Linked DNA regions of Caenorhabditis elegans. The protein of the gene in region 2 purifies or fractionates together with the protein of the main gene of each other region. This does not show direct contact. Each region holds a gene or a part of one and is shown on either strand. Other genes may lie near its edges.

What was found.
Region 1: the proteins of dss-1 (region 2) and rpn-3 purify together in Caenorhabditis elegans (affinity purification with western blotting, with the first as the bait; one study listed by BioGRID). This does not show direct contact.

Annotation. Positions count from the first base shown.
Region 1 is NC_003281.10:8,445,532-8,450,159, reverse strand, and holds rpn-3 (26S proteasome non-ATPase regulatory subunit 3), read right to left. Parts: upstream 2,808-4,628; 5' UTR 2,804-2,807; coding exon 2,692-2,803; intron 2,644-2,691; coding exon 2,269-2,643; intron 2,226-2,268; coding exon 1,498-2,225; intron 1,451-1,497; coding exon 1,151-1,450; 3' UTR 814-1,150; downstream 1-813. Other genes in the region: mrpl-32 (Large ribosomal subunit protein bL32m), read right to left, coding at 1-122, 174-402; hsp-110 (Heat shock protein 110), read left to right, coding at 3,271-3,377, 3,426-3,753, 3,859-4,186, 4,230-4,628. UniProt on the Caenorhabditis elegans protein: Acts as a regulatory subunit of the 26 proteasome which is involved in the ATP-dependent degradation of ubiquitinated proteins.
Region 2 is NC_003281.10:1,193,827-1,198,249, forward strand, and holds dss-1 (putative 26S proteasome complex subunit dss-1), read right to left. Parts: upstream 2,467-4,423; 5' UTR 2,451-2,466; coding exon 2,340-2,450; intron 980-2,339; coding exon 842-979; 3' UTR 560-841; downstream 1-559. Other genes in the region: mrpl-45 (Large ribosomal subunit protein mL45), read right to left, coding at 3,620-3,873. UniProt on the Caenorhabditis elegans protein: Subunit of the 26S proteasome which plays a role in ubiquitin-dependent proteolysis. Has an essential role in oogenesis and larval growth. Required for intestinal function and default lifespan.

The DNA.
Region 1 (4,628 bases), 7.3 Mb from region 2:
GGCGTAGCAGGCATCACAAATAGTGTCCGATGGATGAATATTCGAGCACGCTGGACATGTCACAAGATTATCAATCGGTTGAAGAAGGCGTGTGAATGAGAACTTGCGAGTTACTTTCTTTGCTAAAAAATAAATTTTGAAAATCAGTTTTTTTACATAACATATAAACGTACGTTTGCTAGTTCTATACTTTGGAACTCCAAAAACAATACTAAAATCGTCAATCATTTCGCGAACACTTCCATATGTCATTGGCAAGTTTTGTGCAGTTGATGATGGATGTGCACCGACATCGCAAGCAAATCCAAATGAAGGAGGTGGTGATCGGTGACTGAAAACTCGCATCAGCGAGTCCATCGACAGCCGCAGGTTTATTATGATCCTTGCTCGAGCCTCATTCATTCTGAAAATAATTTTAAACTTCAAAGAGGAAGAAAAGCAGCGCTATAATCGATCTCGTAGTTAAATAAATTATGTTTTTTAAATGAAAAAAAAATTAAATATCAGAGAGCAATTGACTAAAACTAATAAATTCCAAAATTGAATTCCAGTTAGTTTCAGAGAAAAATAGAGTTTAAATATTAATGGGATTTTCAGTGTTTCCTTTTTTTACTTTTGGTAATACAAAATATATTGAATAAACATAAATATAACTAAAATGATTTCAAGAAAGTTTCTGAACTAAAAGAATTAAGAAAATCGTGCTCGTAATTTCTGACGCAGTTCGTGTGCAGGTAGTGTTTGCGGACATCGTAAAGCAAGTGTTTAGACAAATTACATTATTTTTGTAAAATTTAATAGAATCGTATATTTAGATGTTGCAATACAGTATTTATTCGAAAACTCATGGATTTCTATCACGATAGAATTGAAGATTATTTTTTAGACGATCTTTCTCTTTTAACACTACTTAATTCAGAAATAAAATCGGTGAAAAATACCAATTTTAAACAAAATATATTTTAAAAAGACTTGGTGAAATATGCAATTCATCCTTATAAAATTCATTCGGGTGTGGGAAAAAAGTGGACAGGGATCTCGATTTGAAAAGAGACGAGAAAATTCAAATAAAATACACACAAAATTATTTACGGAGACAGACACGTTCCAATGCATTGTTCAGAATAAATTAAAAAAGTGAGTGATCGGTTTAAAAATCGTCATCATCTTCGTCAGCCAGCTCTTTGGCGAATTCCAACTCTTGCTGCTCGCGTTCACGAGCTTGCTCAATAGTTTCAACAGCGATCTTCTTCTTTGGTGGATATCTGAGAGCTTTGACAGCTTGATTGTGCAATTCGAGGCAGTAACGGATACGAGTATCGAAGTGAGCTTGTGGCTCCGAAGTACGATAAATATCAGCTGTTTCTGAACTTTGCATGTACCGAGGTCCATCACGAACATCAGAAGTGATAACAGCATCGATTGCTCCATCGGCAATAGCCTTCGCCACCTGCAACAATTATAATAAACATAAAACTGTCAATATAAATTACTTACAATGTATTCAGTCTCTGTCTCGTTAGTAATATACAACTTCTTGGCAATATCCTTGATATAAATTCGGGAATACGCCAAAGAAATTTGCTTGATTGCAGTCTTGATGACGTTTTGACGCAGACGAACAATCAATGTGAGAGTATCATCAGCTTCAAACTGTGTTTTGAATTGCTCCAAATTATGATTAAAACGAGCAACATCTCCATCGCGAACGCCTCGACTGAGATCCAGGTAGTGAGCAAGACATTTGCGATAAATTGGTTGACGGAACACACTTCGATCAGGAATCTCTCCTTGTAGAAGACCAATGACAACAACCCACTTCTGAACAGCTTGTTTGAAGCCAATGGCACCTTCTTGTGGAGCTTTTCGCTGAGCTTGCAAGAAATATCCAGCCGCCGAATTGTAATCGAGTTGAAGAGCCTTTATACGTCCTTGATAGTACATGTAGCGGGCAAGATCATTGTTAGATGCATTGTCTGGGAATGCAACTTTGGAGACAAGATGAGCAGCTGATTGATATTGACGGTTGATCAAGTAGCAGCGAAGAAGCCAGCAAATCAGAACGGCTTGTGACTCGGAGAAATTACGGAGAGTTGCAGTACGGAGTCGAGAGTTCAAGAATCCCTGGTGATCGAAAAGACGTCCTTCTCGTTCGTAGATCACACAGAGGAAATAAAGGGTTTTTGCTGCGAGTCCATCCAGTGTACGCCGATCAAAGTTGTAAACTGAAAATTATACGTTTTGTTTGGGTTAAAATATGTTTTTTACTTGATGTGAGTTGATTCTCGCCGAGAGCAAGAGCTTCGGTATTCTTTTTTTGAGCATAAAGATGAAGCAAAACGAGAAGACGCAAGTAGCAATCTGATTCGGGAGATGCAAACACTGGTTTGACGCCTTTTTTTGGAGACTTTGTTTTGACATTCGAAGTATCCATTGGCTGAACTTCAGTATCAGCGGCGGGTGTGTAATGCAAATACTTCAACATTCCTTCGGCGAACTGAGCATCACTGCTTAAATGTGAAGACACGAGTTTGTAAAGAACGTTGTCATTGATCTGCTTGCGAGTTTTCGGCAATACTTGCAACACGCGAGTGATCAAATGTTCTTCTCCTTTGTCGAGAGCAGCTAATTGTTCTTTGATATCTAGAAAAGAAGGCAATCAAAACTTTAGTATTTCTGTATTTCACTTACTTTCAACTGCAATTGCGTTGAGATCTTTTGCTGGCTCGGTGGCTGGGACATCTTGCTTAGCTTCATCTACCTCCATTTTTTCAACGACGGTTTCTCCAGTTTTCGGAGCCATTTCCCTTTAAAATTTGAAAATAAAACGAGTGTCACTAGAATTTGAGCTTTTTTTCACGTAAAATAAAATAAATAAATAAAAACAAACACAACAGAACGTTAATAAAATGAAAAACGATGTTTGAAAAATGATGATTTTGAAAAATAAAAAATAATGCAAGTCTGCTCTGTAGAGAATTTTACATGGGTCTCGCAACGATGTACTAGACGTTTCTCGAATATTCGGTGTGCCTTTAAACACCATTATAAGGGAGTCAGCCTGAGACACGCCCTTTTCGGTCGTTTTTCGCTGTTTCACCTTTGTTTTCTTGCTCACTTTTTTTTTATTTGCTCGAAATTTCTAGAAAAATATTTGGTTTTTGTATAAATATACTTTCAAAGCTTCTTCAACCCATTTTGTCCGTTTTTAGCTGGTCTAAACTGTCTAAACTTTTATCTTTAATTTCAGCGCTCCTGCTATAAAGAATAATGTCGGTTCTTGGATTCGACATCGGTAACCTCAACTGCTACATTGGCGTTGCACGTCAAGGAGGCATTGAAGTTATCACCAATGACTATTCTCTGCATGCCACTCCGTAAGTGTAGTATTTCATAACATGAAATCTAAATATTTATTTCTCCAGAGCTTGCGTATCTTTTGGACCAAAAGATCGATCAATGGGGGTTGCAGCTCGGCAAGCAGTGACCACGAACATCAAGAACACTGTTATTAACTTCAAGCATTTGATTGGACGAAAATTCAGTGATCCTGTTGCGCAAAGATTCATTCCATTCATCCCGTGTAAAGTGGTTAAACTTCCAAATGATGACATCGGAGTTCAAGTCAGTTATCTTGGCGAACCTCACACTTTCACCCCAGAACAAGTTCTTGCTGCCCTTCTCACGAAGCTTCGTACTATTGTGGAATCTCAACTTTCTGACGTGAAGAAAGTTTCAGATTGCGTTCTTGCTGTAAGTGTTTGTTTAATATTTCTGAATAATATCAATTTATTTTAACTATAATTTTATCGAACAATTTAGACTTGAGAAATTGTTAGACAATCGTTTTAATTTTAGGTCCCGTCCTACTTCACTGATGTTCAACGACGCGCTGTTCTCTCAGCTATTCAATATGCCGGATTGAACTCTCTTCGCATCGTCAATGAAACAACTGCAATTGCTCTAGCCTACGGAATCTACAAGCAAGATCTCCCAGAGGAAGATGCCAAATCGCGCAACGTCGTGTTCCTTGATATCGGTCATTCGTCAACACAGGCTTCATTGGTTGCTTTCAATCGTGGAAAACTTCAGATGGTTAACACATCATACGATTTGGAGTCTGGTGGTATTTGGTTCGATGCTCTTATTCGAGAGCACTTCAGAAAAGAGTTCAAGACAAAATACGGTAAGGCCCAATGAAAGTAAATTGATAATTGAAGTTATTGCAGGAATTGATGCCGCAACATCTCCTCGTCCATGGCTACGTCTCTTGGACGAATGTGAGCGTGTGAAGAAGCAAATGTCAGCAAATCAAACTCCAATTCCACTGAACATTGAATGCTTTATGGAGGATAAGGATGTTACTGGAAAGATGCAACGTCAAGAATTTGAGGATCTTGCAGCTCCAATTTTCAACCGTATCAAGCAGGTTCTCATTAACTTGTTCGCAGACGGAGTGTCTATCAAGCCGGAAGAAATTGACGAGATCGAAATTGTCGGAGGATCTTCAAGAATTCCGATGATCAGAGAGATTGTCAAGGATCTTTTCGGAAAGGAACCGAAAACCACGATGAATCAAGACGAGGCTGTCGCTCGTGGAGCTGCCATGCAATGTGCAATTCTTTCTC
Region 2 (4,423 bases):
AATTTTGAATTTTTTCGAAAATTTGAATTTTTCCGTAGAAAAATGGGAAAAAATTGGAAATTATTGAAAATTTACAAATTTTTTCATTTTTTTTTTTGGCAAAAACTTTGTAAAATTTTTTAGATTTTCAGAGAAAAAATCGGATTTTCAAATTTTTTTGCGAAAAATTCGAAAAAATCAATTTTTTTGGGGGAAATTTGAATTTTTCAATGAAATTTTCAAAATTTTTCAGTTTCTGGAGGTTTTTGTCAAAAAAAATCAATTTTTCTGGAAAAAAATCGGTAAATTTTAAATTTTAATCGGATTTTTTCAAAAATTTGATTTTCTCAGTAGAAAAATTCGCGAAAACCGGAAATTTTTGGAAATCGAGTTTTTAAAAAAATTCTCCAAGTTTTAGCACTTTTTTTCAAAAAATTCAAAAAATACGGCAATTTTTCGAATTTTCAGGAAAAAAAATCCATTTTTGGCGGAAAATTTGAATTTTTTTTCAAAATTTTCAATTTTTTTTCGGACTCAAAAACATGAAAAATGGATGAGAACCTCTTTTTCGCAAAAAAAAAAAATTTTAAATAATTTTTTCCGCAAAAATTGAGTTCATTTTACATTTCAGAAGGGAGGAAATATGGATAAAATCCAAAATTTTCACAAAAAAAGGGGTAAAAAATGAGGAAAAGCGGCGGAAAATTGTGATGGAGAATAAATTAGGAAAAAAATCGCAAAAAATTGGGGAAAAATGCTCAAAAATGAGCATTTTTTACGGCGAAACTGGGGAAAAACGGGAGAAAATGGGAAAAATCGGAAATTTTTAGAGCAAAAAAAAAATGGGCGAAAAATCGGAAATTTAGGCGACTTGGTGTCCAGATTTGCGGAGTTCCTCCTTCAATTGCTTCGAAAATTCGCTTTCATGAGTCTCATCATCCCAATTATCCTCCCAAACGTTCACATCATCCTCTTCTCCTTCGGCACGCTCAGCCCATTCCTGCAAAATTTTTTTTTTAGAAAAATCGATTTTTTTTTGAATTTTTCAGAGAAAATTCAATTTTAAAAAATATTTTGTTTGAGGAAATTCTGAAAATTTTTATACTTTTTTTTTGGATTTTCAGCCATTTTTTTCGTAAAAATTGTAATTTTCCGATTTTTTGGCTAAAAATTTGGTCAAAATTCGAATTTGCCGAATTTTTCACCAAATAATTTGTCAAAATCCAAATTTTTCGATTTTTTGCCCAAAATTAAAAATTTCACATTTTTTGGAAAATTCGAATTTTTTTTTGAATAAAATTTGAAAACATTCCAGACTTTATGAAATGTTTGGTAATTTTTTTGTTGATATTTTGCAATTTTTCTTGACTTCCATTTTCTCTTGACAGCCATTTTTCCGCTAAAAATAGATAAAAATTCAAAATTTTGGACTTTTTTGGTCAGAAATTGGATTTTTTAGCCAAAATTCGAATTTTTTGAATTTCTCCGACAAAAAATGGATAAAATAGCGGATTTTTCAGTGAAAATTCGAGTTTTTAAGGAAAAATATCGATTTTTCTGAAATTTGCATCAAAATTCCAAATTTCGGTACTTTAATTTCGCCTAAAAACCTATTTTCCCGAATTTTTACAGGAAATTATCGATTTTTTGGAATTTTCAGACAAAAAATTAAAAAAAAATCGCTGAGTTTGTCAGAGAAAATAGGATTTTTTTTTTCGATTTTTTTTGAGGAAATTCTGAAAATTTTTATACTTTTTTTTTTGGATTTTCAGCCATTTTTTTTGGCCAAAAAATTTGATCAAAATTCAACTGTTCCGATTTTTCCGTCAAAAAATTGGTAAAAATTTAAATTTTCTAATTTTTTGACTAAAAAAATGGGCCAAATTCAAAATTTTTGGACAAAAAATTTGATAAAAATCAATTTTTTTACGATTTTTTGCCTTAAAAATTGGTAAAAATTCAATTTTTCCGATTACTCGGCCAAAAATTGGCCAAAATTCCAATTTTCTAATTTTTTGGACAAAAAATTGGTTAAAAGTCGATTATTCCGATTTTTTAGTTAAAAAATTGGCCAAATTTTGAATTTTCCGATTTTTCGGCAAAAAGTTCGCAAAAAATCAAAATTTCTGATTTTTTTTTGGCCGAAAATTTGCAAAATTTTCAAATTTACCGATTTTTTTTAAATAGCGTATTTTTCAGTGAAAAATTGATTTTTTTTTTTGGTTTTTAAGGGAAATTTCGAAATTTTTCTTATTTTTCCCAATTTTTTTTTCGATGTTTTGGCTAAAAATAGCCAAAAATTCCGATTTTTCGGCTTAAAATCCGTCAATTTTCACAATTTTTTCGCCATTTTCCTCTACCTGAACCGGAAATTCCTCAAATTCTTCCTCCTCGAATTCCTTCTTCTCAACGACAGCAGTGACTGGAACAGCCGAGCTTTTCACGTCTTTTTTGGCGGCGGTAGATGACATTTCGACTGGAAATAGGCTGAAAATAGGCTTAAAAGGCTGAAAAATCGGATAAAAAAGGTAGAAATGGCAAAAAACCGGTTAAAAATAGAAAAATGAACAAAAAATACAGTTTTTCTGAATAATTTTTGCGTTGAAACAAACAATTTGAAAATAAAAAAAATAAAAACAATAAAATAACAAAGAAAAATCCTATAAAACACCATTTTTGCAGGGAAAATCGTGAAAAATCCAAATTTTTAGGCAAAAAAAAAATGGATTTTTGAATAAAAAACTAAAATTTTACGTTAAGAATTGAAAATTTGAGTGAAAATTCAAATTTTTGAGCCAAAAATTGAATTTCTAGCTGAAAAATTGGCATTTCAATAGAAAATTCAAAATTTTAAACTAAATTTCCAGGTTTCTAGCTTGAAAATCAATTTTTGGAGCAAATTTGCCATTTTTAAAGCCGAAAATTTACATTTTAACGTCAAAACTCGAAAAATGCGCGTTTTTGACTTGAAAAATGCAAAATTTGCTCCAAAAATTGATTTTTAAGCTAGAAAACTGGAAATTTAGTTTTAAAATTCGAATTTTCCATTGAAATTCCAACTTTTCAGCTAGAAATCCAAATTTTAGCTCGAAAATTCGAAAATTTCGGCTAAAAATTCAGAATTTTTAATAAAATATTCGAAAATTGAATTTAAAGCCAAAAATAATCGAAATTTGAGGTCAAAAATTGCGAAATTTTCGGGATTTTCAATTTTCAAAAGGTGAAAAATTCAGTTTCACATAAAAATGGCCAGTTTTAAGTCAAAAACGCTCATTTTCAGTTTAAAAATACACATTTTTAACTGAAAATTACTAAATTTTAAGTCAAAAAATACTCAATTTTGGCTCAAAAATGCTCATTTTTAAGTCAAAAATTGAATTTTATATCGAAAATTGGCCATTTTTAGGTCAAAAATACTCAATTTTAGGCCAAAATTCTTATTTTTAGGACGAAAAAGCTCAATTTTGCCTCAAAAATGCTCATTTTTAGCTCCAAAATTGAATTTTACATCGAAAATTGGTCATTTTTAACCCAAAAATGCTCATTTTTAGCTCAAAAACTCCAAATTTTCACGATTTTCCCAACAAAAACAGTGTAAAAACTACTATAAATCTACAACGAAAAAAAACGACATGGTGCATCAAATCTCCTGCTGCTCCTTCTCCTTCTTCGCCTCCTCCAACTTCTCAGTAGTTCTCAACGGAAGAGCTTTTGCCTCAGCGTGCTGCTTTTCGACTTGCTCCGCGCTGAGCATCTGTGTACCGACCATTCCCTGTTTCGCGTCAATCCATTTCGGATAGATTTTACCGTGAAGCCTCCATTCTCCGTCGACTACGGCAATATGATTCTCAAAAACTACGTATTCGACGACATCTTTCTCCTCGTCCTCGGAGCCTGCAGATTTGGAGCATTTTTGGGTGGAAAAGCTTGGAAAATTCGGTGAAAATCAAAATTTTCCGCATTTTTTACCCAAAAATTCAAAAAATTTTGGATATTTTCGAATTTTCCGCGTTATTGAGCGAAGATTCCAAAATTTTTGCATTTTTGAGCAGTTTTGGGTGGAAAAGCTTGGAAAATTCGGTGAAAATCGGATTTTTCCGCATTTTTTACCCGAAAATTCTTAAATTTTGACTGGAAAATGCAAAATGTGCTCGAAAAATTGCTTTTTTTAGCTAGAAATCTGGAATTTCCGTCTAAAAGCATGATTTTTCCACGTCAAATCCAAAATTTCAGCTGAAAATTGAATTTTTCACTCAAATATTCGAAAATTTGCATGTTTTTAGCCAAGAATTCAAAGTTTCGAATCAAAAAATGGGAAATGTTGAGTTTCACATCGAAAATATCGATTTTTGTGCTCAAAAACGCTAATTTCCGCACTTTTTCCACAGAAAATCAGAAAATTTGGGTTTTTGTTTGAATTTTTGCCGTTTTTCCCTCTAAATTA